2 linked regions of the Diceros bicornis minor genome follow. The protein of the gene in region 1 purifies or fractionates together with the protein of each later gene. This does not show direct contact. Links are inferred from orthologs where the notes say so. Each region holds a gene or a part of one and is shown on either strand. Other genes may lie near its edges. The genes, in order: ESYT1 and SYNJ2BP.

Evidence for each region.
Region 2: the proteins of ESYT1 (region 1) and SYNJ2BP purify together in Homo sapiens (affinity purification with mass spectrometry; 4 studies listed by BioGRID and IntAct, with this or other methods). This does not show direct contact. The link is inferred for Diceros bicornis minor from reciprocal best matches to the Homo sapiens genes ESYT1 and SYNJ2BP.

The regions. Positions count from the first base shown.
Region 1 is NC_080756.1:12,633,096-12,648,471, forward strand, and holds the start of ESYT1 (extended synaptotagmin-1), read right to left. Parts: upstream 8,442-15,376; 5' UTR 8,379-8,441; coding exon 7,983-8,378; intron 6,400-7,982; coding exon 6,358-6,399; intron 6,174-6,357; coding exon 6,039-6,173; intron 5,922-6,038; coding exon 5,848-5,921; intron 5,719-5,847; coding exon 5,646-5,718; intron 5,491-5,645; coding exon 5,401-5,490; intron 5,220-5,400; coding exon 5,164-5,219; intron 4,736-5,163; coding exon 4,612-4,735; intron 4,526-4,611; coding exon 4,349-4,525; intron 4,225-4,348; coding exon 4,142-4,224; intron 3,837-4,141; coding exon 3,788-3,836; intron 3,665-3,787; coding exon 3,578-3,664; intron 3,479-3,577; coding exon 3,386-3,478; intron 3,157-3,385; coding exon 3,085-3,156; intron 2,913-3,084; coding exon 2,826-2,912; intron 2,041-2,825; coding exon 1,891-2,040; intron 1,560-1,890; coding exon 1,404-1,559; intron 1,271-1,403; coding exon 1,094-1,270; intron 944-1,093; coding exon 861-943; intron 737-860; and 6 more. Other genes in the region: ZC3H10 (zinc finger CCCH domain-containing protein 10), read right to left, coding at 13,944-15,251. UniProt on the Homo sapiens protein: Binds calcium (via the C2 domains) and translocates to sites of contact between the endoplasmic reticulum and the cell membrane in response to increased cytosolic calcium levels.
Region 2 is NC_080763.1:18,766,030-18,781,579, forward strand, and holds the start of SYNJ2BP (synaptojanin-2-binding protein), read right to left. Parts: upstream 8,018-15,550; 5' UTR 7,923-8,017; coding exon 7,859-7,922; intron 1-7,858. UniProt on the Homo sapiens protein: Regulates endocytosis of activin type 2 receptor kinases through the Ral/RALBP1-dependent pathway and may be involved in suppression of activin-induced signal transduction.

The sequences.
Region 1 (15,376 bases):
TGCAGAGAGAACATCGAGTTAGCCTTAAATTTGGCCCTAGTTAGACAGATCCACCCCTCCCCTCACAAGTGACATCTACAGCCAGCAGCCACGTCCCCATTATCACTTGACAGCCACCATCCTCGTGGCCTTGGACAGATAATTCTTCCCACCCCAGCACCACCCTGGGAAAGAGAGGAATTTGGAATTTACTATTCCAAATACGCCAGGAGCATCCAAACCCAAGGGTGGTGGAAGAAGGACCAGGGAGCTATGGGGCGTGGGGAGCAGATCTCACCGGCAGGTCCTCAGCCCGTTCTAGGTAGACGGACAGCAGGGCCGCCGCCAGTTCTGCACTCTTCTGAGTCTGGATCAAACTGTTCACCTGCAGCACCTGGGGAGGTAACACAGGGCTTGGAGAGTGGTAACTGACACCTGGGACCTGGCATCTGCCTTGAAGGCTGATAGAAAAGTTCACCTGGACCCATCTGGGGTCCCTTCCTTCCTCACCTCCTCTAACTCAGCAGCAGTGGGACGAGGGGTCAGACGCTCCAGACGCAAGTGCAGGCGGCCAGATGGGACGTCCTCCAGGGTCAGCCACTGTGGAAGTAGGCAGGGTTCAGACGTGGGAATGTGGGGACAGAGGGACTCTGAGAATGAGACGTGGGTCAAGATCAGGAGGACTATTGATTCTAGTTCCATGCTCACCTCATCAAGGAAGCCACTGTTTAGGACTGTGGTGAGACTCACTTTACACCTGCAGAGGAGAAAGGTTAAGACAAGGCCGATGGTCACAGCCAAGTCTCTGTCTCCCTAAGGCCAGACTTCCAAGGCATACAGAGGCCCAGCCTGTCTGCCCCTCTGGACTCGCACCCTCTCACCTGCCCAGAAAGTCATCCTTGTCCAGGTCCTTGTCAAAAACTTCAACCTCCAGCTCTTGGCCTGGAATTGATGTGACGATCACCTAGTGGGAGGAAATAGTGTGGACAAAAGGGGATTCTCTTCTTCTCCAAATGACTGGACCCTCCCAATCAACTGAACCCGAGATTTTCTCTCAGAGATAGGGGGAAGAACGGGGCAGGACTGGGAGGAGTCCTGGCCACTTGATTCTGACCTCAAAAACTTCATTCCAGCGGGGATTGAGATCTTCCCGAATAACACGGCTCCGGAAGCTTCGTCCTGCCAGCTTTAGTTTGACATAGGGGTCTGACTTGCCCTTCACCAAACCCCCCAAGAAACGGTCTTTGGCAATCAGGTCCTGGGCCTCTAATACATGGATCCGAAGCACATTCTGCAAAAGGGACAGAGAGGGACACTAGACAGCAGTCAAAGAGAGAGAAACCTGTCAGAGCCAGACCTGAAACAGGCTTTACACACCTAGGGGTGGGCAAACAGACCCTAGTCCTTTTCAGATACAAACTCACCTCAGTCCCAAAGTGACTGTCAGGAGTAGTGTGAGAGGGTCGAGGTGGGGTATCCACACTGCTGCCTGTCTGGGGGCTCTCATTGTCCAGGTCCCAAGCCCCAGGACAACCAGGCACGGCAGGGAGGCGCACTTCTGATGAATCTAAGTACAAAATCTGCGAAGGGTAGTGTGATTGTCGACTCAAAGAAGCGCAGCTAGCCACCAGCAGGCAAGGTATGTGGGGGTGGAGGGCAGAGCAGGGGTTCGGACGGGGAAACCAGGTCCCTGCCTTGGCTGGGCTCATCTCTAGAGGATTCCCTCCACACTCAGCCTGCTCATACACCCTTTTGTCCCACAGTTATATCAGCAAACATTTTTTTGTGTGCCTGCTAGGTGCTTCCACATGTACTAGCTCATTTAATCTTAGAGGATTCCCCTTCCTTACTCTTAATACCAAGGAATCCACAAGGCCCTTCTCCACCCTCACACTTCCTCCATCTCCATACCCTCATAACCAGCTTCATGTAGAGCCTGGAGTTTGGGCCAGAGCTGCTGAGCTGGAACCACTGGTCAAGGGTGAGTTCAGGGGCAGTCAGCAGGCGAGCCAGAGGCAGAGTCAGTGCCCCTAAAGTCAGGGCCCTCGAGTCATCCTTCACCTGTAGGCACAGGAGGAGGGGACGTAGTGAAGAGATTAGGGAAAAGGGAGACATATTGGGGAAATTTATTACATGGGTCCAGCTTCATTCTCTCTGTGCCAATCGCAAAACTTTTATTCCACTCAAGGCCATCTTTCTACAATCCTATGCCCACTCCATGGTCTGTCCCACTCCATGGTCCCTTCCGACTTTGCTCATTCTGTTCCCTTACCTGGAAAATTCTCATTCTCCTTCCCTCTGCTTATTTAAATCCTACTTATTCTTCAAGGACCACTCAAAATCCTACTTCCTTCATCTCTCTAGTTACTCCAGCCTCTGTATCTTTTCCTGGCCAAAATACTCATATTCTATGAGTATTTTACTCCCACTAGTTAATATTTAGTCATTCATGGATTATATACATTATATATATATCATTCTTGGTTTTACATATGTGTGTCTTGTCAGTTATGAAACTAGCCAGTAAGCTTTGTGAAGGCAGATACTCTGTTTTATGCTTTTTCTATGACCTTTAAAATGTAGGTGTCTAAGAGGTACTCAGTATGTTCTTTTTTTAAAAAATAATTTTATTGAGGCATAATCATTCATTTTAAGTGTACAATTCTCAATTATAAAAAATGATTCTAGAGAGATAGGTGGGGAATAGTGGAGAGAGAGTGGAGGAGGTGGAGAATCTATGTAGATAGATTGAAAATAGAGATCAAAGGAGAAGATGGAGAGAAGAAATGGCAGAGATCTGGGAAGACGGGATAGGGTATTCAGGAGGGGCCAAATGATTATCTCACCTGTATATCAAGCTCCTGGCTTCGAGGGTCTTGCAGGAAGAACCGGAAGGCCTCCTCCCACACCGGGCAGTTAGTGCTGTGGAGCGCCTGGAGATGTGCAGGATGAGATTAAGGGTACCTGCACAGTACCATTCCTGTGTCTCTAGAAAACCCTAGCCCTTATAGGCATTCTAACGCGGAGACGTCATCCCAAGAACAGTCCTCCCTCCCCCACTGGCCCCACACATGACATCTCCCACAATGATGTCTTGGCCCTCACCTTGCTCTCCTGGGTCACATCCTGAATTGACAGCTGTACCATAGGGTTGGGTTCCTTGTTCCCCTTCTTTAGCTGTAGGGGGTAGAATATAGAAGTCACCATCTTGGGTGTTTTGGTTTTGTTTCAGAGAAGGAAGGTGGGCTCTCATCAGAATCTTTTCCTTGACGTGGCTCTGATCCCCTCCTTGGAACCTTTGTGTTACATGTTGTTGCTTCTGGAACACAGCAGGCAGGGGCAAAGGAGGGTGTGGGAATGTGCATTCAGGGCTCCCTATTCACCTGCCCTCAGAAGCCACACTCACAGGAAGATCCTGGGCCCGATCCAGATAGACAGCTAAGATGGCAGCTGATGGGGGCTCTGGTCGGGAGGAGACGCCTCGATTCCACTGTAGAACCTGGTGGGGTGGTAGTAGTCAGACCTTGGTTCCCCCAGGCCTCTAGACTTCCAGCTACCCATTTCTCCCCACCAGCTTCCTGTTTCCCACGTTGGTTACCTCCTCCAGTTTTTCTGCATTTGGCAGAAGCGACAGCCATTCTAGCCTTAGGTGAACTTGGCCTTGCCCGCCTTGAAGAGGGAACCACTGGAAGGAGAAGTAGAAGAAAGTGGGAAGAGATCAAGCACCCATCTCTTCCCCACCAGTGGAGCAACTATTGTCTGCTCAGTGGGTGAGACCACTCCCCACCTTCCTCTTCTCTCAACTTACATCATCCAGTACTCCAGCCTGCAAAACCTTCCCCACATCCAGCTTCATTCTGGGGGGTCGGGCAGAAGGGAGCGGCAGTAAAAGGGAAAAAAGGGGAGTGTTGTAATTAGTACCTTGTCACTGGCCCTCCACTCACCCACCTAGAAATAACTGGCAAATCTCAGACTCCCTTCAACTTACACTCAGGAGATATTTATGTGTGTGCACACGCGCATGCATGAATGGTGGGGGCAAGGGGTGGGGAGGTTGGGAAGGAAAATGATACATGATTCCCAGGCCCAGAAAAGGATTATAATTACCTCTGGGACCTTGTAGCACTGGGGCTTTAGAATCCTAACATAGGCAGAGTCTCACCTGCCTAGAAAGTCATCTTTGTCTGGATCCTTGTCAAACACCTCCACCTCAATCTCCTGCCCTGGGACCTCGTGCACTGTCACCTGAGGAACACAGAGGGATCAGGGCCTCATGGGCTGCAGCTGCGAGGATCATCAATCAGCATCTTCTCTCACAACCTCCGGGGGCCTCCCCATCTCACACAGCCCCACTCTTCAGCTCTCCCACCTCATAAGTCTCTCCCCACTGGGGGTTGAGTTCCTCATTGATGACACGACTGCAGAATGTCTGGGTGCCCACTCGCACAAGTGCATAGGGGTCTGACTTGCCCTCAATCAGGCCCTTCACGTATTTGTCCTTGGAGCTCAGCCCTTGAGCAGCCAGCAGGTGAATCCGAATAATGCCCTGAGGGTAGGAATCAGATAGCAAGAAACTAAGGACCCAGAACAGGGTCCGAGAGAAGGATCTATCTCCTGGGGAAGAGGCCATACCCTGGGAAGAGGGGAACGCAACTGGGCCACATCCTGAAGGTTGGGCACAAGGGGCACCAATAATCGGTTGGGCAACACGAGGAAGGCAGCGATGGAGTCCATGATCACGGTGTCAGAGAGTGAGCTAAATGTGGGAGTAGAAGAGGAGGTGAGTGTGGCCCCACCTTCCAATATCCTCCCACCCCCAGCTATGTTTCCCACAACAAGAGAGACCCAAAGCTAGAGAGAAGTCCTTTCTGAAAATCCCTTTTTGCTACTCTTCTACCCTAATTTGCCTCCCACTGCTCTGTCCCTTCACTGCCATCCCAGCTCTTCCTTCTTTTTTTGCTCCTGCTGAGCAGTCTGCAGCCCTCTTCATTCTCTACCAAAATGCATGCTCCCACCACAGAAGAGAAGTCACAGCATGAAACTTTTCAGGGGGTATCTGTCTTATCCCCCCAACCAGGGTCAAGGCTCCTGGAGGCATCGGCTGCACTATTTACTGCTTCATATCCCTTAAACCCCCAGGCCAGGGCTGGAACACTTAGCAGGTGCTCAGTAAGTCCCTGATACCTGAGTCCTGGGATATCCAGCAGGTTGGTTATCCCTGTCCAGTTGATATCTAGGGTCTGAAAGGAAAGGGCAGGGGGATCAGGACAGATCCTATGGTGGTGTGGTCACACTCATCCAACAGTTGCCACACCCCTCAGCCATCTTGTCAATTCTCTCCCCTATTCCCCATTGCTGGTATCCTCACCCTCCCAATCCTGTTTCCCCTGCTTCCCCATCCCCCTCAACATTTTCCCTTACCGGGCGTCGGATAAAGAACATTGACACAGCCCCCACGATAGGAAGGTCCCCAATGAGTGGCTCAAGGATCACCCGCAAGACACCATGTAGCTGGGGCAAGAGAAGATCAAAGCCTTTACTCAGAAAAGGCCTTCTCCTCCTCCCAGACTTCCCAGCCTTGGTTTTTCCAACCTCCCACTTCCCTGTGTCCAATAAAACCTAGGGCAAAGCCTCCTTATTATGGGGGCCCTTGAGATCTGCCCCACCTGCATGCCCTTGACTCCTGCTTTGCAGAAATATTTCTTCACTTCCACATCAATCTGTACGTCACCTACATAGCTGGGGTTTAGTGAGGAAGAGAAGAAAGAGGGTTAGTATCACGCTGAAAGGGGGGCAGGGGGAGTGAAGTAGTCAGAGGGACCAGGATCCTGTCGAAGGGGAAGCAGGAAGACTGGTGAGTGGCACTACCTGATGTTCAAGTCCAGCAGGATCTGTTCTTTGCTCTGACCAGGGTGAACTTTGACTCCTACGATGCGCAATGGCTGGAGAGAGAACTCTTGAGAGAGGAGAAGGAAAGAGAGGAGTACCCCAGCCCCTTCTGGCCACCCACCTTTCCTGTCCCATCTCCTCCCTTGCGTTACTTCCCCCTACACATATACCTTTTCTCCCAGTTCCACGCGTGTAAATGTAAACGTTTGCAGATGGGTGTTAGATCCTCGAATAGCAGGGGCCACAGTTTCAACCAAAAGCTTCTCCATATACTGGCCCAGGAAGGGCCAGACCTGGGCCACAATCTGAGAGGAAAGGGAGCCCATCATAGGAGAGCCCAATCCTCCCTCTAAAGGCAAGTTGCTTTAGAATCCGCCCCATGGGGGGCACTGGGGATGGGGCTAGAATTGAGGTATGGTAGGGCTTGGCAAGATGAACGAACTCCATTCCCCCTTGTGAAAAACAAAAGTCAAGACAATCAACCCTCACCTTATTTAGCCACTCAGCCTTTTCCACATCTGGGAAGCTGACCTGGAGGTGAGGAAGGCAGAGATAACAATGAGCACACCCTCTGCCAGTGGTTTCCTACTAAGATGCCGGGTGGGATGTCCCCAGAGAAAAGAAAACATAAGTGTGACAGGGCCTCCTCACACCCAGGGGCTGGGGGAGGGGCCAGGATGTCCGAGGATTCATTCCTCCTCAGGGTTTGGGGGCACTGCGGTCTGAAAAGGGGAGCTGACACAAAGTTGTTTTGTGGATAGCTCCCGGATGTGAAATGACAGGTGCTGGGGCAGAGAGGAGGAGGGAGAAGGGCACATTCTTTCTGGAGGGGGTGGTCCTGTCAAGTCAGAGTTTGAGGAGGAAATCCTGGGATTGGAGAAGTCCTGGTTCCTTTTTCCAGCCTTCCCTGCTCCCCTTGGACTGGGGGCTGTATACCAAGAAGGTGAAGAGGAAACCAGCCCCTGGAGTCAGGGAGGGGCCAGAAGAGCGGGTTAGGCCCTGGCCATGTTTTTCTTCTTCCTTTTATCAGTGTGACTCCTTTTATGGGAAAGAAGGACACCTGTGCTTTGCGTGGAGGGGAAGAGAAAGGGTAGTCGCTTCAGGAGGAAGATTAGTTTCCACGAGGAGGAGTAGGGGGATCAGAGACAGCTGCTGCCTGGACTATTTTTCCCCCATTCCCCTCCCCAGTCGCCGGCCTGGGCAGCATGGCTCTGCCTGCCTAGTGTCAACTTTGATTCCTCTCTTCTGCCATCCTCCCCCTAGACTGGCACCTCTGCTGGGAGAAGTAGGACCGGAGAGGCAGGGAGGGGCCGGGTAACTGGGCACTGCCTCTGCAAGCCCGGAGAGAAGGCATCCGGCCCCTCACCACAGGAGGGGGGGAGTAGAAACAAGGGTCGTGGCCCCGACCGAGCACGCGCAGCCCACAGTCCGGAAAAGGGTGGGGCCGGCCAGGGGCGGTGGAGTGTGGGCAGCGGGCACTGCCGCAGTCGCGATCCCCTCCCCCAGCACCCCCGCCCTTCGGCCAGCAGCCGCCCCCGCTGCGCTGCGGCCCGGCCGCCTGGGGCTGGAAGGCGAGGGCCGGAGGGTCCGTCCAGGTGCGGGGGCTCGGCGGGGCAGTGCTCCCGGGGCTGGCTTCCAGCGGGTACCCGGGAATAAGAGGGGGAAAAGGAAGAAGAACCAATGGCCTTAAATAGGCACAAAGTCTTGAACGGACAGGAGAGATGAGGGAACCGTCTGAGCGGCAGCGGGTGCGGGGATGCCCAGGAGCGGCCGCGGCGCGAGTGGCCCCAGGGCGAGGAGAGGCGCTCAGCGGCTTGGCTGGGAGGGAGGCGGGCTCCCCAACATTACTGCTCTTGCCAAGCGCAGAGGAAGGAGGACTGATTCTGTGCAAGGAACGGGATCTGGGCGTGCCGGGGGGCGGGGGAAGGAGACTGGAGAGCCGGTCCCAAGAGTGCCGCGTCCCAGAGGCCGGTGGCTAGCGGGGCGAGAGGGGAAAGTCTGCGGCCCACTGTCCCAAGGGTGGGGCACTGACTTTAGGGTAGGGAGGGAGAGCCCTAGAACTGAGGGGCTAGAAGGGGGCTCTGCTGCACTGAGGATCGAGGATGGTCGCTCACCCAGGCAGGCAGCTCTCGATGGCTCATGTAAAGTGTCTTCGCCGTGATCCGCTCCTCGTCGTCCAGCAGCTGCCGCGCTACTCGAAGGCTCCGTTCTTTCTCGTCGCGGACCCGGCGCCAGCCCAGGTAGAGGGCGAGGCCGAAGAGCACGAAACCCACGCTGAGTCCTATTGCCCCGGCCAGGTATACCGGCACCAGCACCAGCAACCGCCGCCCGAACGAAGTCAGCACCGCCAGGACCTCACTCGCCGCGCTGGGGCCGGCAGGTTGGTTCCCAGAACTCGGGTCCGGCTTCGTGTGAGCAGTGGGGGGCTGGTCAGGGGGGTCGGAGGGAGCAGAGGGCTGGTCCACGGGGCTAGGGCTGGGGCTGGAGCCGTCTCCAGGGGAGCGCTCCATGGTGCCACCTCTGGGAGGACCCGCCCGACCCACACACCGACTGGAGGTTGCCGCGTCTTGCAACTAGCTCCCCGCGGCAAACCGTAAACCCCAGGATGGGGGAGGGGACTTCAAGCCACGCCCCCTCTTTCTGGCGGCTCGGGTTGGTCCGCGCCGCACAGACTAAGGTGGAGTCAAAAGATCGAAACCCTGCCCCTCTCCCGCGGGGAGGGGATAGGGCTCCGAAGAGGCAGGACCTCCTTGATTGGACCAGAGTGCCCAGATGGGAGATCTGGGACGGCGGGAAAAGGAGGAAAGAGGCTAAAGAGCGGCATTTGATTGGCCAGAAAGAGAAGGAGGCGTGGTGTACCATTTAAAGAAGAGAGCAGGGCGCAGGGGGTCCCCCACGTGGGATTGGAGTGCCTGTGGTATGACGTCATGCGGAGCCGCACCGCCAATTACTCGGTTTTTGAGGGAGTTGGAGTCGCGAAGTTGAGTTGTGAAGGGTCAGGATTTCCTTCCACTCCATTCGGACGGTTTGGCAGGGTTTGGTCTGGGATTCCTACATGTTCATGTGTCAGCTTTCCCTAGTTTTTACACTCTAAGCACATTCTTTATCCTTCAATTTTTTCCTGGCTGTCCTTACAAAAAGAAAGGAAATTACCCTATTGGGAATGAAAGTGTTGGATGACGACGCTGTCTATCGTGTCTCCAGTCCTCTACGTTGTCTGTGCAGTGTAACGACAGACACTAGAGAAAACTGGAAAATCCGAGAATTACAGAGATGAGACAATCCAGCGTTCAGGGAAGAGAAAAAAAAGCGGAGTGAAGAGGAAGTGAGGCTTGCTTTCTTTTTAGAAATCTCCAAGAGTTAGTCCATTCTATCTCCAATTCTATCTCTATCATAGAGCGCAGACCGACTCCAAACTAGATCGACTCCAAAAAGAGGAGTGGGTGGGTGGGCGGTCAGCTGCAGCAAAAATGATTACACTTTCCAAGAATTTCCTGACCCTGAGGAACTGCTAGGACACTAGCAGTTGAGAAATCAAGAGTAATGAGACGATTCTGTGTTTCATTTGCCTGAGTTAGAAGGAAGGTTTGGAATACAGTCAGATGTAGAATTAATGCAGTTCTACATGAACTGTGCAGGTTTAGGAAGGGGAGAGTGCAGGGTACATTGATGATGACCAGTGTTACTAGTTAACTGGATTTAGAGGTGGAGTGTTGTCCAGAGACTTAGAAACTAGACTAACTGGAAGTCCAGGAGGGAAGGGTTGGTCATAATATGATCACCTTTTAATGCAGTATATGTGGGACTTGTGTTATTCTGTTTGACACAGCAGGCAAACCAGGGTTACTGCTGGGGAGAGACTAGGTCGGCAGCTGATAAGTTTTATCTGGCTCTGCAGGGCATGGATTTCATCAGGCTGTGTTTCATCAAAGCTGCTTAAAACCTATCGCTGCCCAGCCTTCCTCTCAAATTTTCTCACTTCCCTTTCTCTACTTCCCTGAGGCTAACAGTCTCTAGGCTGCTTCATTCAGTTTGCAGAACTGTATAAAGAACAATTTTCTATCTGCCTCCTGTGTCATCCATATTCTCAGAGGTGAGCAGGCAGAAAAGGAGCTCAAGGAGTTTGGAGGAGATAAAAGTGATCTGCTCACCAACTGATGAAGCAGAACTATAGGAGGAAAATGGATGAAATTCTTTAAAGGGAAACCTCTCTATAAACTGAAATTTGCAAAGCACTGGAGTAGGGGGAGGGGGGTCCCTTAGACTGGGGGATGGAGAGGGTGACCTATAGAGGTTCCTTTCCAAACTCCTCCCCTTTCTCACCCCATCTCGCTCATCAGACCCTCCTACTGAAGATGGTATATGGAGGATGAAAGCTCATCCTCAGGAAGGTCTCTTCCCAGCTGGGACCCAGGAGCCACAGGATTAGCAACTGCAATGCAGGCACCAGAGAACAAGTAAACAGGATGGGTCCCCGCCCATTGACAATTCTGCTGCCCAGGTGCCACCTGGTGGTGATAAGCAGTAAGTGGGTAACAGGAAAAAGGATGGCCATTTGTTAGAGGAAGTGTCTAAGCGAGGAGAGTACCAAGACTTCCTGGATTTGCAATCTGCACTTATATGTAAACTACAATTGCCTCCTAGGGGAGGCAGAGGGTTGGACGTGGTAATCTGGTCCCAGCTCACTCTCCAAGATGGAAGGGGCAACAGGATTTGAGGAAATTTCCTCTGTATTATTCCTTGCAAGTTACTGCAAAGCAGTGGTCCCATTGTTGGATGGCTCTATCCTTAGAACTTTCTTATGCCAAGTCTGGAGTCAGACCGCCCGAATAGATTCCTGGCTCCATTCCTTACTAGTTGTGGAACCCTGGGCTGATTACTCTCTTTAAGCCTGCTTTCTCCTCTGCAAAACAGGTACAAAAATAGTACCCATCGTGTCAATGAGATATTGCATGTAAAGTGCCCAGCACAGTGCCCTGTCTTGTACTGAGTACTCAATAAATGTTAGCTGTTATTCTACAACTCCCTGTGTATTTCCCAGGCAGCAAGACAGGACCTTTTCTCTATTGGGCAGCCATTCAAATATTTGAAGACATCTATTGGGTCTCCCGTCAGTCTTCGCTTGTCAATTTTGCTCACCTATTCCACTGGTTTGTCAATGGCCTTCTTTAAAAATTACATTGAGAAGAACACAGAATACTTTAGGAATGGTTCCACGCAGACAGACACGGTAGAACTGCTATATTTACAATGCATGACTATGGTTTGGTTACCTTAACAGAGCTCCTAGAAAGGTGCCTAGAACATAGCAGGCTCTTAATTTTTATGAACTGACATATTATGAGGACTAAGATTTTAATTTTTGGTAGCCAACTGGAAGTCCCGTGTTGTTCTCATGTGAATTACTGCTAATGCAGATCTCTGCATTTGTTCCTCAGCCAGGTTCAAGCAATTTTTTAGAGGGAGGGTCAATCAAAATTGATCCAAATTGACCCCTTGGATTAATTTAGTTGACCCAAGTTACAGACACTTTCAGTATCACCTAGTGCTTCTCTGTTACTGTTGATAACAGGGCTTTTCTTATAAGTTTTTTTTTTTTTTTAAATAAAACATAGCCCTTATGTATATCACAAGAGACTTCTCTAACATGAATGCACTAATTAATAGTTAGTAGGCACAAATGTTCAGTTTTGATTCCACCAAACTCTACTATTAACTGACCCGTAATTATTCTCTTATCTGCAATGACTTAGCAGGTGAGAGAGAGGAAAGCAACTCCTGATCTGGGAACATCCAGGCTTCAGAGTTGTTGGGGGCTGACCTGCGATCACAGCTAAGAAATGGTGCTCTCTTGTTGGACTCAAACAATTTCACACAACACCACTATCAGAGAAGTGCACTCAGTGACTGTGATGAAGTGAGGCAAAAAAACCTCTGCACGATTTTGTTTAAGCACAAAACAAGGTCAGTATGCAAACCAAAAAACAGCAAACATCCCCCTCTGCCAGCTAACGAGTGATTTCCGCTTCATTAGCAATTGCAGCTTCAGCTTCACTTTAGTCAGCCCTTTTTCTAGATAAGATAAAGACACCCAATCACAGAATTATCCCTGCTTCCCTGACAGCACCCAATCCAGAGTGAAGCCCCACTTCCTTGAACCTTCCCCCAAATCACTTAACCAAAGGCCAAGTCCTACAAGTTCTTTCTAACAGCCTCTTGCTGAAATACCACGGTTCCCCAGGGCATGCTCTCTCCACCACTGCAAGGAGCAATAAACACAACTTGTTCAACTACAGGTCTATTCCTGGTGGTCTTTAGCTGGAATACCTTAATAAAGGACACACAATGTCTGCAGTTTCCCAGATCTACCTCTTCAGAGATACTTGGCAAAGAGAAAATAAAGTCAGTCAGCATTTGGCTGGGATGAGTTCATGTTGGTATCTATGATCACATTTGTCTCTAAATGCTCATAAACCATCTCTTTAATAATGCAAAATTGTGCCAGAAAACCAACATTAAGCTTATCAATGTGTGGTTTCTAAAATCCACAAACAATACTTCAGTATTTGCCCATTTTTAGTCTTTAGGCCCATTCTTTTTTTTTTTAATGACCAGCCTTGACCTAGCCAGCCCATCTCCAACCCCAGGTGTAACCTGAGTGATCAACCAGACGAGAGCAAGAGGTAGCAGGAAACATGATGGGGGGAGAATAACCCAGGATCACTTTCTCTACCCCCAAATCCACTGTCCCATTAGACTAGACACCTGAGTTGTTTCCCCTACATCAGCCATGAGCTGAGGAGGAACTGAGGTTTGGCTATTGGGGCCCTAGGCCTTACTGACTCTTAACCAGATTTAAAACTTCTGTGGTCCTACGTGGAGGCAGAGGGAAGAAAGGGATGAACTCTGAGGCTTGTGTCCCCAGAAGAACTCTCCTTTTCCCAGCACCTCCCAAGCCTTGAAGGCTTAAGGCATTGGTTACTGAGGAACGGATGGGGCAGGAGGGACATTAACCCCCATCAACAACTCAGAGAACAATCACCAACTGCCCTGCTCTGTTTGAATAGGAGAAGGATCTGTCAATACATATCTCATTCCCATTTCCCAGAACCTCTACCCTCCTTAGTACCTGCCCCCCTAAATGACCCTAGGAGCCCTGGTTACTAAGGCAACCTGGGAATAGTACATGCACATAGAAACCAGAACAGATGGGACTATTTTTAAACTAGACTGGGTGGCTCCAATGCTTTTACCCCACAAAGTGCCTTCCCCAAAGCCCCATTTGGTCTTGTTCTGGGTCCCTACCCTTCTTCACTGGCTTCCCTCCAACCTTACCCAAGCTATGTGAGGGTGGGGTCTTTATCCCATTTTGGCATGAGATCTATTTACTGCTCCCATATTCACACAGAATACCTAAGCAAGTTTTCACTGCCTCCATTTGTTAAAAATAATTGTTTTTTTATTTCTTTGGAAGGTGGTGGGCCCTGCCCTATAGATTTCCAGGCAAAGTCAAGGTAATGAACGCTCCCCTATTCTTTGGGCTGGAGTACTATGGTCCCCGCCTTCCCACGGGCCTGGGAGCAGTTCCTATATTGTCCAACTCAACTAGGCCCCAAATTGTCTGAAGGCTCCTGTTAGGCCTTCCCTCCTGGCCACCCACTTCCCAATCTTTCCTGACTTTCCCTCTGGGCAGGGTATTTTTTTCTTCCAAAGCCAGTGCTGGAACCTGTGCTGTGCAGAAGAGAGGACAATACCAGGGATGTCCCCAACTTCCCATCAGCAGACATACAGCCCTTTAGTCAGTCCTTGCTCTCTGCTGGCTTCAGTCTGTACTCCCATGCAAGCCCCCTCTGTGAGGCTTGAAGGAAGATGGACAAGAGGACCCTCATACAGGGGAGGTGAGACACAACACACCAGCCCAACCCTTTCTCAGAAGCAAACTCCTTGTAGTCTCTTGTCCTAGTTCTTGAGTGAGCCCTTCAGACAGGGCCTGGGAGGGCTAGGCGAGTGGGTGAGTAAGGGCCCCTCAAGCCCAGCCCTGGGAGGCTATTCCAGGGTAGTGTCCATTAGGCCCATCAGTGTGGCATGGCTGTGATACGCATGCTCTGGGAAGCGATGGGGTAAGTCACCATGGGAGTGGTGGTGTGGCTCATTGTGATTCCTGCCAAAGGTTGGGCCATCGATACAGCCACAGGGGCCACAGGAGCCACAGATACAGCCACAGGAGCCATGGAGACAGGTGGGGGTGCCATTCCCTGGGCAATTGTTTGAGCCAGAGCAGCTGACAGTGGTGTGATCTCTGGGTTCAAGTGTGGGGGTGGGGGTGGTGGAGCAGCAGGAGGTGCAGCATTAGTTGGGGGAGCAGCTGGAGCTCCAGCAGGGGCCACCAGTTCTTGCTGGGACACGGGTCGAGGCTGTAGAGCCTGGCTGCTGAGAGTAGTGTGAGTCTGGGCAATGCCATGGTTAAAAGTGGCGACAGTGCCCACGGTGGGGGCCAGAGTCTGCTCAGTCGCTGGTGCAGTGGAGCTCAGGGTCATGACCTTGGCCTGATTGCGGAACTGAGCGTTTTGTTCCAGCAGTACCTCATTGGTGGCCAGGAGGTTGCTAACCTGCTTCTTGAGCTCCTCTACCCGCTTCCTGAGCATGGCGTTCTCCTCCTCTAGTAGTCTGCACTCCACCCCTCGGGGTGGAGCCAGGCTATATTCATATGATTCAAAATGGGGGCCATCTGGGGGGCAGCATCCACCTCGCCGGCGCTTGGGGCCTGGTTCATGGTCCTCAAAGCCCCTGTCAGGGAGGTCGTAGATATCATAGAGATCATGACGTCGTCCTGGGGGGACTGGGCCTGTTGATCCCCCCCCACCAGTTCCTCCTCCACCCCGAGCATCAAACTCAAAATCCCGCTGCAGGTGACGGAACTTGCACTTGGCTCCTCTCTGACAGTCACCCTTGAGAAAGTCACGGCAGATAGGGACCTCCTCCTTGCCATTTGGTAGGTCAGCTGGTGAAAGGCCCAGGCCAGCTGCCACTTTCTGCCTCAGCCGAGGGGGAAGCTCTCCCGTCTTCTTATAGCCATCCTCATCCTCCTTGGAGCCATGGATGAATCGGCAGTTTGGGCGACTACACTCCTTGTTCTGGAAGTCATGGCAGAAGATGAACTCATTTTTGCTCACTCCCAAGTTGGATACCTCACTCATATCTGGATGGCGATAGCGGCAACGCTTGCCTCGCTTGCATACATTCCTCAGGAAGTCTCTGCAGATGGCATCTGAGCTGGCCCCACCACTGCCTGCCCCTGTCCCACTGGCTTCCTCGGTGCCACCACCTCCAGGGCCTCCACTGCTGCTCCCAGTGCCGTTGGCATAGCTGTCCCGATCAGGCATCCTGGTCCCCTCCAACTCAGGGCTTTCTTCCTTTTCTTGCCACCCTTGGTGACCACTAGGAGAGAGGAGAACTGTGTCAAACAGGAATCCTCCAGAGAGGCCACACTCTTCCTGACTATAGAGCA
Region 2 (15,550 bases), on another chromosome or scaffold:
GAGTGAACCATAATGTAAACTATGGACTTTGGGTGAGTACAATGTGTAGGTTCATCACTTGTAACAAATGTACCACTCTGGTGGGGGAGGTTGATAATGGGGGAAGCTATGCATATGTCAGGATGGGATGCATATGGGAAATCTTTGTACCTTCCTCTCAATTTTGCTGTGAACCTAAAACTGCTCTAAATAAATAAAGACAATTTTAAAAAATTAATAATTGCTACCTCCCTGCTTTTCACCCTTCCACATACACAGCCGCTCCATATCTCCATGCCTTTGGATGTCCTCTTCCCTTTGCCTGAAAACATACTTCACTGAAATTACTTGTTTAATTACCTCTTTACTGCAATAATTAGTTCCAATTATGAATAAAGCTACTATAAACATCCATGCACAGATACGGCTTTTGTTCGTTTTATATCTCTTGTGCCCATTTGGTACCTAGTACATATACAGACCTCGGTTGGTGTCAAGTGACTGTTAATGCCATTGGAAATAACACCCAGGTCAGGAATTCCTAACATTTCTAGTCCTGGGGAAATCTAGCAAGGTTCAAAATATCTCTGTGAGCCTCTAGCAGGCTTTTTCATAACCCGAAAAAGAAGGCACAAAAGAAAAGGAGGAAAATATAAAAGGGGAAGCCCAATGTCCTTAAAATTCCTATGACACAGGTTACCCTGCCTTTCCTGGATGACTCAACTCTTGCCCCACTAAAGCTATTCTCCACACAGCAGCAGTAATGACAGACACCATTTAAGCACTTTAAACGGATTAAATGAGTTATCTTTTGGTAAAATACTTAGAACAGAGCCTGGTAGAGTCAACACTATAAAAGTATTTGTAAAACAAAGAACAACAAGAAAAACATTTAATTCTCATAACAACTCGATGAGAGGGTTCTATTAACACTCTCAATTTATAGCTAAGGAAATTGAAGCACAGAGAAGTGAGGTAACTTGCCCAAGGTCACATAGCTAGTAACTCAGGCATTCTGGCTCTTAATCACTATGTTCTGCTGCTCACTGCAATTAGATTGAAATTCAATTTTCTTTTGTATCTGCAGTCTCTAGCACAGAAACTTGTCCTACAGTCGTCACTCAATAAATACGTATGAATTGAATGAATGAATGAATGATTCAAATAAGTGACTGAAGAGCTTAAATGACTAGGCATCTTTTTTTTTTTTCTTTGTGAGGAAGATCTGCCCTGAGCTAACATCTGCCAATTCTCCTCTTTTTGCTGAGGAAGACTGGCCCTGGGCTAACATCCATGCCCATCTGCCTCCACTTTATATGGGACGCCGCCACAGCATGGCTTGACAAGCAATGTATCGATGTGAGCCTGGGATCCGAACCGGCGAACCCCGGGCCGCCACAGCGAAGCGTGCCACACTTAACCGCTTGCGCCACAGGGCTGGCCCCTGACTAGGCATCTTTTCACCTAAAACTCTTATATTCTCTGGAGAAACTCTCTGGTCCAAAGATGAAATCTGGCACTTGTTATTTGTTACCTCTCCCAAAAGACAGTAACAAATATGCACTGACAAATAAACAAAGAGAGAAACAGGGAAAATCTTTAACCTCAAAGGAACAGGCAGACGGTGCAAGAAAAAATGTATAATGCCCATGGTCAGTCTCTCCCCATCTCGGTGCTCCACCTGATGGGGCAACAAAGAATATGGCCCACCAAAGATGTTTCAGGCAGTACCAGCCGGGTTGGACACCAGGGCCTCTTTTTATTGCCCCTAAACATCTTTCAAATATCTAGGTGGGCACCCATCTTCTCTCATTCCAGGATAAGCCCTTGAATATTCAAGCTCTAAATGCATATGACTGGTCTCTACTAGATCATGTCTCCATTTGCTCCCTTGCTTCCAAAATGTTTCAGTGTCTTCATTTTTGCCTCATATCCCAACCTGCACCCTCTCCACTGCCCTCTTTTCAACTTTCTCTTACTCTACGCTTCTTGCCCAACATATGGTAAACTGTACATTGTGGTCAGCATGAATATACCATAGTTTGTACAAGGAGAGAATGACACTATCTAATTTCTTTCCGAAACACTTTCTAAAGGCATTTAATATCTTCTTGGGTCTTTTATCTGAAATGGTCCATTGAGTCTGACTTCACAAGGAACAGAACATATCTTATGAAGGTCCACAGCTCTTTGGTTATTCTACCTCTTGAGGGTACTTAGCACATGCCTATCATAATTATCCTCCTATTGAACTGCAAAATTCTTAAAAATAGGGATCATTTCTTATTCTTTATTCTAGTATTCATGATTCCTAATCATAGTGGAGGCACATAGTAAACCCTAAATGATATTTTTAAAAATAGCTTCCCTTTGTTTCTGAGTTTCCCGAAACCAATAGTTTCTTCTGATTCTATCATCTAAGTATAGATTTTTTCCTCAATAAATAATTTTGTATTTATTCAAATACAGTCACTGGCTACTTTACTACCTAGTCACATGGCTTTGCAAAATGTTTCTATAGTTGAGCATCTATCAGCTTGCCTTTCTACTTCTCCAAATTCCTAGATATTTTACTTTACAGTTATTCTTAAGGATTATCTTGAAAAAAATCTTAAGACAGATCCTTGAAGCAATTTTCAGAGACTGGTACCATATACTCTTTTCACTCTACGTGGCTTTCCATCTATTCCATCTCCTTGTTTCTGGTATCTTAGTCAGTTTCCTATCCACTATAACACATTATGTCCAAATTCATTCCTTCTCTCTTAAATTGTATTTAGTGGAGAACCTTGTTAATGACTGTTTGAAAGCTGAAACAGATCACGTTACTGATTCTCTTAACATTCTATTATATTTTTCTGATATTCATCAGCTTGCTTAAGTCATTTCATGAACTTTTACTGACCACTTTGTGTCATGCACTAGGCAAGGCATTAGGAAAACAAGAGATGAAATACATATCCTTTGAATCAGAAGAGCTCAGAGTGAAGTAGAGGGAGGAGGAGACACAAGTAAGGAAGCAAATATAGAAATAAACACTAAGATAGGGTATGCACAGAGCCCTGTGGGAGCATAAGGAGGAAAAAAAACCTTTCTATGATGGTTCAGAGCCTCGATTTTTAAGTCACACAGACCTGGATCCAATTCTTAACTCTTCTACTTAAAGAGTTGTGTGACGTAGGAGTCAAGGTTTTCTCATTTGCAAAATGGTATAACAACCATTTCATCTGTTCCTTGTTGGGAATTGATGAAACGAAGTGCTTAGTTTGGCAATACATGACAGGTACGCAATAGATGGTGTATGATATTTATAATAAGGGGGCATCTAGCCTAGGTAAGGAAGGCTTCCTGGAGATGACTCTCGAATTGAGTCTTAACCAATGAATAGAAAGGAGAAGGAATCAAGAGGGAACCTTAGAGAAAGATTAAGTTTCCACACTAGCATCGAGAACTTTTCATAACCCAGTCGCTACCTACATCAGCAACCTCATCTCCCTTAACTCTCCTAAATGAACCCTCCCTTTATCCAGGCTTGTTTACTCACCGACCTCAGAATATGCTTTACTTATTTTCTCTTCTCTATCACTGCTTAGGTCATACCCATCCCTGTTCCTGGCATTAGCCTAAAGCCTGTCCATAAGACCAACGTAAGTCCCACCTTCTTGTAATTGATCAGTCTGGCCCTTAAATGGCTCCATTCTTTGAACTTTCCCAGCACAGGGTCAGATTAACACACTCTTCTCCACATTTCCTTTGCCCTCCCACTACATACATGCTCATCATAGTCCTTAACCATCTGCACCTTTGCAATGATTTAACTTTTTACATGTGAATGTCATGTCTCCACTGGAACATAGATTCCATGAGGGCTAGGCTTCACGCTATCAAGAGAAAACAGGGTGAGGATATAACACTTAGTCTCAGATCTATTTGGTACATGAGGGAACAGGTCAGAAAACTGTTAGCAACAGTCTCAGGGTTAAACCCAAAGCACATGACGGGTCTGCAGAGGCTTAAACGCTTGGACTTAATGGGGTTTCTTGTTTTTAGATTCTCACCTTGATATGTCCTTAGCTCTATGAACAGCAAACTGTAAAAACTTTCCACTGAGGATTGTGTTAGTCATTTAAGATGCCTCAAATCCTTCTGGGAATAAGGCATGATATAACAAAATAAAAGTCAGGAGAAAGCTTGGCAGTCAACTATTTAGACACGGCTACTACACTGGGAGGTAATATATGGAACAGCAGAATCAACAGATCTGGGTTAAATTCCTGGTTTGAAACTTACTGCCTTTAGATCTTGGGCAAATCCTTAACCTCTCTGAGAGACAATTTCCTCATCTAATAATGTGGATTAATCACTTACTACTCAGGGTTGCTGTGAAGATTAAATGAGTTAATATATATATAAAGTAACTAGTACAGCGCCAGAAAGATAATACTTCCTTAATTATTTATTATTAAAACACTGTACCAACCTATTATCCTTTGCAACTCCTTTAAAGAAAGTAAAAAAAAGAACAGAGATTCTTTTCCCTCTTTAAAGATAGTGTATCAGGAGCAACTTGCTGAAACCCACTGAGGCCTCAGTCCTGAACAAAGAATCCTAATCCTAATACCCAATGAGCAGTAGGGTTGTCTTTATGGCCAATCTCTACCTGTTAGAGTGAAAAAAAGCTAGATTAGATTCTTGTCACGCTTCTTAGAGTAACTGAATCATTCCAAAATCCAGAACTCCCAGCTTGATAAAGGAAAAAGTAGGAGGTTTAGAGACTATAATCAAGCTGGACTCCCATAGAAAGAAAAGAGATTAACAGTGTTCCATAAAGGATAAAAGGTGAACTCTTCAAACTCCTGAAGGCATTTGAGATTGTGACCACTGCCTTTGATGATTCTTCAGACCACCCACTGTTAGTCCAAAATGGCAGGAATCATAAAATAACACATGGAATGGGCCAAAGAATCATGAACTCTTGGAAGTGGAAGGCAGTCATCCTGCCTAAGCCTCTCCTTACACAGTTGAGGAAGTAGGCATAAGAGAGATGCCAAGCTTCTTTTTGCCTCCCCAGATACTCACTTTGTCATAATTTTCCCAAGATTTCATTTCTTCCCTTGCAGTAAGCAAGATCAGACAGAATAGGTTCATTTGCCTTGCAAAATGGGCCCCAAAACTGGAATTATCTAAGAGTCTTGCCCGTGACAGAACACTGGCACAAAAAAGCAAAAGTATATATACATTCTTGCAGTTACCTGATTAAACTATCAGGTCCCTGCATAAGAAGTGGGACATAGACAAAGAGTGACAACGCTGCCTACAAACAGAAATATATACGTAGAACTAGAGGCTTTTCATATTTCTTCTATAGAAAGAAAGATCTTTACGTGACTACCAAAATTATCGGAAGTTTCTAGTGATGATAACTGATTTCTTCCCTGTGTTATCTTCATGACCACACAGTGAAGAAAAGCTGAATTAGACCGTGGGATTTCTTAGGAGTTCCACATACCAAGTCACTAGCTCTGGGAGGTTATAAACAGAAACTTGAAACCTTTTCTTGTTAACTTAACCAATCAAATTTCCAATGACTGTTTTTATCCAAGTTCAATCCTAAATTTGTGGCTCTCCTCTCCTAAACTCTTAAGTTTATCAACTTAAACGAGTAAGACATGAAAATGCTTAGGAAAATTAAAGGAGTCACTCGGTGAGTAAATCCATTCATTTGGAATAAATGCACATACAATACAGAAATTAAACCACTTTTGAGTGAAATATATTAGCTAGATATAATTATTCTTCTTAATTAGTCCCTTGAAGTTTGTCCTAACTTCAACGATTCAGAAAAACGCGAACATAAGGAACTTTAAGTCTGCAAGATCAACAGGATCAGAAATTTTAGTGAATGGTGAGCTGAACATTAAGCAACAGGTTATGCAAATACCAAAAAAGGTGAAGTGATATTACACTGAACTTTAAAAATATTTAGTGACTAGAACACGCAATATCAGAGGTCTGCTCTGCTCTAGTCAGGAGATCCTAGAAACACTATGAATGCTGCAGCAAAAGGACTATGTCAAAGTACGTTAAATTCTTAAGCAAGGAGACAAGAATCAACCCTCAAACCACATCACATGAGAGCTAATATAATAACTAGGGATATTTAGGCTACAGAAGGAAGAGACAAAACGGGAACAGAACCATTAGATGCCTTTTAATACTTGCAGGGCAATCAGAAAAAGAACTACCACTGTTTTAATTGGCCCTGGGAGAAGAACAGTTACCAATGAATGAAAAAGTATAGAAAAACAGATTTTGCTTTAAAAATAATTTTCCATGTTTGCCTCAAAAGTCAAGAAATATTAAGTGAGAGTGAGAGAAGGAAAAATTTACATAAAATAGGAAAAGTGAATCTAAGAGACTTGGGCATACTGAATGAGCCTTTGACAAAAGTTTGGGAGTTCATATGGAGTGTGACACTAAACCATGCAGATTAGCAATGAATTATAGTCTCATAAATAAAATCCACTTTTAGTTTTTTATAACAAGAAAGAAGATGAAGTATAGATGATGCTGAAAGCCATATTTTATGAAGAATAATCCATGAGTGGTGGTCAAGCTATTGCAAAATTCCAGATGAGAAAAGATGGACTGTTCCAGATAGTGGTGATAGGAATAGAAAGGAGTGGAAGGTTTATAGAGCCATTTCAGAAATAGAGCTCATGGTACTTGATGACTTATTGGAGACTCTCAGAATAACACTATTTAGCAGGAATTATCAGATTAATCTAGCCATTCATCTATTAACAGTAACAACAGCAGCAGCAAACACATACATAGTACTTACCATGTCAGGCAATGTTCTAAATGGTTTACATAGATTCACTCATTTCATTCTCATAATTCTATGAAATATATTCTATTATTATGCACAATTTTAAGGATGAGAAACTAAGGCTAACATCAGTAAAGACAGTCAGCCAATAAATATTAAAGAACTAGTAAGAGATTAGGTACCAGACTTGGACCTACATAATCCCAAAGCTAAAGCTCTTAATCGACACACTAGACAGCTGTAAAGGAAAGGCAACAAAATCCAAAGCAGGCAGCGTGCAGTAATGTTATGAGCCCGGTCCAGAGGAAAGCGCCAGTGGGCAAGAGGACCGAGGAGTAAGTGAGGATTTGGCGGTATCAGAATCACAGGATGCGCTTGCTTAAAAAAGAAAAAAACCCAAACAAAAGAAAAAACCACCTGCATTGAATCCAAATTCCTAGAGATAGGACCTAGGAATTAACTTTTTTAAAGAAAAACAAAAAACCCTGGGTAATTGTGAGGCAGACCCGGATTTGGGAACTGCTCTAACAGATCTCTAAGGTTTCTTTCTGCTTTAACGTTCTAGCTGACACTCTAAATGAATTTCCCGGAAACGAAAGGAAGGAGGGAAGGATACTAGCAGCAAGAAAACGCCTATACATTTACAGTTCACACCGTTTATGCCCCCCCTTTTTACTAAACAGTCTCTCATAGGAACAAGGATAGAGCAGGCAATGGAAGGAGGGGTGCGGTGTCCATCGCATGCTAGCTAAAAAGCAGGCTTTTTTCCAGGATTTTCTAGTATCAGTAGCAGAAAGAAACCCTTCCTGACTATAAACACATGTGGTAATCGACTGCAAAACGAGGTGGATTCCTCAGCTGATCCGTCTCTGGCTAACGATGGATGCCAATATATTCTCCTACGTGCTCACAAGCGTTGCAGGAAACCTCTAGGTTGGGGCCTGCCTGCTCTGACTCTAAAAGAATCCGGCTCAGCACCAGAAGCGTCTGCTCTCCAATTACACCCTCAAGTACCCTACTCCCAGAGGTGACCTGTTCCTCACATACCTGAGGGTCCTCGGGTAAGATTGATCTCTTCCTCAGTGACCAAATAATCCACCCTTCCGTTCATGTTTTCCTGCTTGTCTGCTTCCCACGGTCAACTAGGGGTCCCACAGGTAAAGACGAACCAGCCTCCGCGCGGCGCCCAACGCACACCACTTTCGGTTTCAGCAGCCCCCGGACCGGAAGAGGAAGCCGGGAGCGCTGGCAGCGCCAGGAATGCTGGGAGTTGTGGTTCTGACCGCAGACGTGCTGCGTTATCTCAGCCGGCCCTCGAAACAACCTGTGAGGTGAGCTAGCAGGAAATTAGTGTTCTAATTTACTATTGGGGGTGGGGGGTGAGGGGATAGTAAAAGTAAGAGTCATAAATGAATTGATATTGTCGAGGAAAAATTAAAAATAAAATCTCCTGCCGTCTCAGAAAATCTCCACAAATGTAGGAAAAAAAAAATGGGAGAGAATTCTATTATTCAGTAAGCATTAAACCAGAGTGGGCTGGGCGTCCGATAATGCGATTGCCAAGAGACAGAAATGTCAGTTTTTTATATAGCCAAGCAGATACCATCCGTTACATACAGGTTCTCATGTAAGAGGACTTAACACCGTTTGCTTTGGTAGGTCACCCTTGGGGTGGTCATCTGTGTTAGCTAATTGCCTTATCCTGAGGGGAAATAAAACCTCTATCTCTAGAACAAGCAGGTACTTAGCTTGGAGCAACGCGCCTAGGCTAACTCCTGTGGTGACAGGGAGATGGGGCACTAACTTCCTTGATATTTACATTTCAAACAGTTGGCTCCCAGGACCTGACTTTCTTGGGTTGTACCTGACAAGAAGCTTGTTTAGCTTTAAAAAGATAGATAGATGGATGGATAGATAGATAGATAGGTGTGGGACAGAGGAAGGATTTATAATTACAAGTTTACACAAAATCCTCTAAGAAAAGGGAGAGGGGTAAATGTCTCTTCTTTTTGCTAACAGGGAAAATTCAATCTTTTTTTTTAAATCCTTACAGTAAGACTAGTAGATGAACTAGCTATTGACTTCAGCCCAGCCTTCCTGACTTTTGAGGTAGAATTCCAAAACAGGGTTTGAAGGAACTTTCAGGGATCAAAAGCCTTAAGGGCCAGGAAGGTGACCTAAAGGTGAGAAATAATCTGGAGTTAGACGACAGGGATTGATGGGGACCTGGAGGATTGAAAAGTGCAGATCCAATTAAGGAATTCAAATTCAGGTTAAATAATCACACCAGAAGCTACTGTGTTTACCAAACAAGACAAGAAAGAGGCTGACTCAGCAGGAAGTCCTCTTATTTGCTAATCCTGAAAGAAGTTAACATGGAATAGTGGAAAGAACACAGGAGATGATGTCAGAAGACCTGATCTCAAGCTTCAGTTCCATCTTCTTCCAGTTGTCTGGCTTTGAGCAGGTAACCTAACATCTCCTAACTGTGTTCCCCATCTGAAGAAGGGCATGATAATAGACATGTAACCTGTAAAAGATTGTTGAAAGGATTAAGTGAGAAAAAATTTTAAATATTACTTCTCAACTCTAAACTCAGATGCATGCCACCCTTGCTTCTAGCCCTCCTCAACATATGTTGATTGAATGACAGAATAAAATGATCATAATAAAAAACAGTATGATAAGTGAAAAAAGTAAGGTATAAGTAAGTGACACTGGAATACCAAGAGAGAAGAGACCAAATGGAACTGGGAAAAGAAAATCAAGATTGTCATCAATGAAGAAGTTTGGAAGAAAAGTCCCAGCAAAGTTTCTTGTAGACTGCTGAGGGGGAAATCTCTACTCTGGGAAGCTGCGCTTTTCATCTGAGCATACAACTTCAAGAGAAACACGTGGGGCGGTGAAAGGAAAAGGATCATGAAATAAGTTCAGGAAATGCTGGTAATAAGTGGAATGACAGCTTAGGCGTATAAGTTGCCTTTATACATTAATGTTAGTACAGACGGTTCCTAACTTATGATGATGGTTCGACTTATGATTTTTCGACTTTACTATGGTGCAAAACTGATATGCATTCAGTAGAAAACATACTTCGAATTTTGAATTTTGATCTTTTCCCAGGCTGGCAGTATGCGGTACGATATTCTCATGATGCTGGGCAGCGGCAGTGAGCCGCAGCTCCCAATCAGCGCCATGATCATGAGGGTAAACAACCGATACACTTACAACCATCCTGTACCCACACAACCATTCTGTTTTTCACTTTCAGTACAATATTCAATAAATTGCTTGAGATATTCAACACTTTATTATAAAGTAGGCTTTGTGTTAGATGATTTTGCTCAACTGTAGGCTCTTTAAGTGTTCTGAGCACGTTTAAGGTAGGCTAGGCTAAACTATGGTGTTCGATAGGTTAGGTGTATTAAATGCATTTTCAACTTAACAATATCTTCAACTTAGAATGAGTTTATCAGGATGTAACCTCATCGTAAGTCGAGGAAGATCTGTATAGTTCTTAAGACTGAGGAAACTTTAATATGTAGGAAGGCAGAAAACAGAGGAAATAGGGGTTTCCACTCAGAGAAAACAATTGAGAAAAATTATGGAATCAGGATAGTGTTGGGAGTATTTAGGGAATAGAGAATGGAACATAGAGTCTATGAGTGAAAAAGCAGAATGGGTTAGTAGGTGATAACACTGAAAAAATAAGCTAGAAACAGATAGTGAAGGAATACTACACTGGAGTGTAGAGATGCACACTTAATTCTATATGCGGTAGGCTAAGATGGAAGTTTATTTTTCTTGCATTAAAGAACTCTGGAAATAGTTCAAGGCTCATATCAAGGCTCCTCAGTCACCAGGGCCCAGGTTCCTTCCAGCTTTCTGTCTCCTCTCCAGCCTTCATCCCTGGAATGCAGCCTTTGCTTCATGGTCCCAGATGGTTAAGATAGGTTTTGGAACTTCAACCATCATATCCACATTCCAAGAAAGTAGTGAAGAAAAGGTTCACCCCATACCTTTACAGAGACCTCTTAGAAGTTTCGTACACTTCTTATATCTCATTGGCGAGAAACCGGGTCACATGGTTATACTTAACTCTAAGGGAGGCCTAGGGTATGTTATATTTTAGTGGGATGGAAATGTGACAACTAAAAAATCAGGGTTACTATTGTAAGCTAAAAGGTAAGAATGGATATTGGGAGGCCATTGGTAGTCTCTGACACAAGAAGTGACACTTTCTGTGTGAGCTAGCCTTTCTGTTTAGGACCTCTGTCCTTGAGTTATGTAAAAAGTGTGAAACTTGGTGTCTTCAACCTATTATTTACAAGATAAGTGGAAACTTTGCCTCACACCTTGAGGTACTTTACTCATACCTTGCACTGTTTTAGCATGTTTCATGTCATACATTCACTTTGACTTTCCCGTCTCCTGTCTGCTCCTGCCGCCTCCTACTTCAATATTTTATTTTACCTGCCTCTCCGATGACCAGCTCATGGACGTGTTTGCATTTAGGATTTATCCACATCTTCTTTGATACGGCATTTGTTCCAACTTGCTGCCCTGGAACTGACCTATTTGGTTTCAAACTCTTGCATATTTTATTTTTTCTCTGCTTCCTTTAGGTGATTAAATCCCTTTCTGATTGACACAATTTTTTACTTTATTGTGTTATTACGTTTAATCAGATTGTATCAGTTTGTTAGGGCTACCATAACTAATACCACAGACTGGGTGACAAGCAACAGAAATTTATTTTCTCACAGTTCCAGAAGCAGTGCAAGATCAAGGTGTGGGGAATGTTGGTTTCCGACTTCTCTCCTTGGCTTGTTGATATCTGTCTTCTCCCTGTCTTCACATGATCTTTCCTCTGTGCAGGTACTTATCAGTGTCCAGATTTCCTCTTCTTATAAGGACACCAGTCATATTGGTTTAGGGCTCATCCTAAAGATCTCATTTTAACTTAATTGCCTCTGTTAAGGTGGTCTAAGTGGTTAAGATTTGATGCTCTCACCACTGCGGCCCATGTTTGTTTCCCGGTCAGGGAACCACCACCTATGTTCAGTTGCCATACTGTAGCAGCTGCATATTGCTGTGATGCTGCAAGCTATGCCACCAGTATTTCAGATACTAGCAGGGTCACTCATGGTGGGCAGCTTTCAGTGTAGCTTCCAGACCAAGACAGACTAGGAAGAAGGACCTGGCCACCCACTTCCGAAAAAATTGGCCAGGAAAATCCTATGAATAGCAGCAAAGCATTGTCTGATACTGCACCAGAAGGTGAGAGGATGGTGAAAGAGATGAGGCAGGGTTGGGGCTTCTGTACACAGGGCTGCTAGGAGTCAGAATCGACTTGATGGCATTAACAACAACAACCACCTCTTTAGATACCTTATCGCCAAATGTGGTTACATTCTGAGGTACTGGGGTTAAGGCTTCAACATATGAATTTTGTGGGAACACTATTCATCCCATAACACAGATTACAGTGAAGTCTTACAGATTTTGGAACTGTTTTGTATCTTTAAGGTGGCATTGCATATTTCTGCTCTGGCCCATTACATGTTGGTTTTACAGTTTAACCTTGATAGCAGTATTTCGTTAATTTCCAAGTTCTTGGGGAAAATTACAGTTCAGGCCCCAACTACTAATAATAGCAAGTCTCAGCAAGGCATTTACAGTTATCTCATTTTCTAGCAGGCATTTGGTTAATACTCTCCATTCTTTTGCATATATACACTCTCTTCTCAAGAAATCTAATTTAGTCCCCTAGCTATAAATGCCATTAATATGCCAGCCCTCACCTCTTCACTGAGCATCAGTCTTGTGTAATCCAGTTGTCTATCTGTCATCTCAAAATTTGAATGCCTGATAGGCATCTTAAATTATCATGATGAAACTAGAATTCCTGATACCCATACCCCCAAACCTGTACCTCCTTTAGTCTTTCCCCTTCCTTGAGTAACTTGATTTACCCAGTTCAAATAAAAATCTTGAGAACCATTCTTGATTCCATTCTTTCCTTCATACCCCACATCAACCCATTAGAAAGTCCAGTTGTCTCTACATACAAGAAAATATAGTCTGTATCTGACCATCTCTGCTACTACCTTCTTATTCCAAACCATCAATATTTACTGCCTGGACTTCTGCTGTTCTTCCTAACAGTTTGCGCTGGTGCCACTCTCCACCCCCAAACCATTCTTCCCGTCGCCGTTGGCACAATGTTACAAAAATGTGAGTTAGATCATGTCATGCCCCTGCTTGAAATCCCTCAATCGATTCCATCTGACTTAGAATAAAAGTCAAAGTCCTTAATAGTGCCTATAAGATACCACGTGACCTGGCCTCTGTCCAGCTCTCTAATTCATGTACTACCACAACCCTGTTCCCCCGCTCACTACTTTGCATCTTCCCTGGCCTTTTCTTTATTCCTCAGACAAATTTGTTTTTGCTTTAGATCTTTGCACGTGCTGTGCCATCTGCTCCCACTCCCTCTTGTTCAGTGCTTTATCACCAATACCTAGAAGAGTGGGTAGCACGTAGTGGGCCTTCAGTGAATGAATGTATTTCAGTTATGGTGAAACTTAAATCAGTCACTTGCTGAAGGTCACACTGCAGTTGTCATTTGCTGTCTCATCACATGCTGCTCCCACTAGTGTCCTTGCTCTGCTGCCTGTGTTCCTTTCAGCTATTCCCGTTGACATTGCTGATGCCCTCAAAATGAATACAAAGGAATTTGTTTTATATACAACAAATGTATATACAAAGGCAGCCTTGTTGTTTTCAGCCTGTCAAAAGAAGATTTTGTCCCATTGCTAACAACTGGATAAAGTATATATTCTGCATCTTTGTTTGCAGCTTTTATGTACACTGGCAATGGTCTCTTTAAAATTAGAACTTGTTGCTTCTGGTCTCTGCTGACACCATTTCATGCTTTCATGGTAATTGACCCTATCAAACGCTGCCGTTGGGGCACAAAACCTTGTTATTCCAATATCAGACCCAGATGTATTATCACTAGCTGCTTAAATGTGCTGTTTTTCCCTTTTGGAGAGAGTTGGCCTGCCTGGCATCTTCAGTCACCATTTCACAGACTTCTCTTGTAACAACTGATATGAACATGATATTTTTATGACCTTATGAAATGAATCTTCAATTTTTTTGTTAAAAAAACTCAGTTATCTGCCTAAGTAACTATTGTTTCCCTCCTATACAATCCTTCATAATGTCTCTGAATTATTCCACTTTTCTTTTTTTAGTCACCTAACTGATTTCCTTGTTAAGAAGTTAATAAAATTTGACATGTGCTTGAGATAAATTTGTCTAAGAAACTTTTGACAAGGCTTATAGTCCCTTCATTTAAGACATTCATAAAAAATACCTGTTCCTATTACTTTACTCTCTGTGTAGGTGAATCATGTCTCTATACACCCAGCAACTTAAGTACCAAACCTGGGAGATATCTCAGACTGCTCTCTCTCTCTCTCTAATTTCCTTCCTCCTGCCTTCCCTTCCTCCATCAATCAATAAGTCCTTGTGCTTAAGTATCAAAACTATTTCTTCCTCTCCATTCTTAAATTAATTTCTTTAGTTAATATCCTTGAAATCTTACTTGCATTGTTTTAGGAACCTCTTAAATGGTTTCTTTGGCTATAGTCTTATACATCTTAAATTCATCCTCCACGTGTTTCCACATTATCTTTTCTAGAATCCAAATTTTATCCTATTACTCTCCTGTTTAAAATCCATCAGTGTTTTCTCTTAGCCTTCAGGTAAAGCCAAATTTCTTAGTAGGGCACACAGTGATTCATGATCTGGCTTTCCCTACCTTTATGTTTCATTTCTAATATTTTCTTGCTATAAAAGTGCAAATTGCATTATGTTATGTCCCTGCTCAAAACCCTTCAGTGGCTTTCCATTTTACAAAAAAAGCCAAAGTCTTAACGATGCCTATAGGGCCTATATGACTCAGCCCCTTTTAGCTCTTTATCTCATCTACTACCACAGTCTATCCCTCCTCCTACCCCTCCAATCCTCCCCAACCCTCCCCCAAACCCCTCCCGCCCAATTTTGCAACCACACTGGCCTTCTTTCTACATGTTCTTGCTTTCAGCCATAGCACTCGCTGGGTCATCTGCTACCAGACCTTCACGTACCTGACTTCTTGTTCACATCTCAATTAAAATGGTGTCTCCTTAGTGAGGTATTCCTGACCACTAAATACTGAATAGTATCCCTTTCTCCTTTATTGTAGAATTTATCACTACATGTCAAATTATCTTGTTCATCTATATGTTTACTTATTTATCTTCACTTTCCTTCTCAATAGAATCTAAGTTCATATCAAGCTATACTCAGTTATAAGCAGTTTCTCATATTTGCCATAGTTGTTAAAATTCTTTGCCTTTGCATATTCTATTTATTCCCTGTACCCTGATTATTCTTCTGTCCTTTCTTCTTGGATAATTCCAGTTTATCCTTCCATCTTGGTAAAGACGTTATCTCTTCCAGGCAGACTTCCCTGACACTTTCTTCCTGTCCAGGCAGGACTAGTTTACTTGCCTTCTGTCTGGGTACTTCAGGTTTCTAATGTGCCTCTATCACATTGTATCATGCTATACATTTTATCTGTCCACTTACATTAGATTTTAGATGGAGGAATTGTGTCTTTCCCATTTGTATCCCCTGTACAATGGTGCATGTGTAGTGATTATTCACTAAGTATTTGTTGAATAA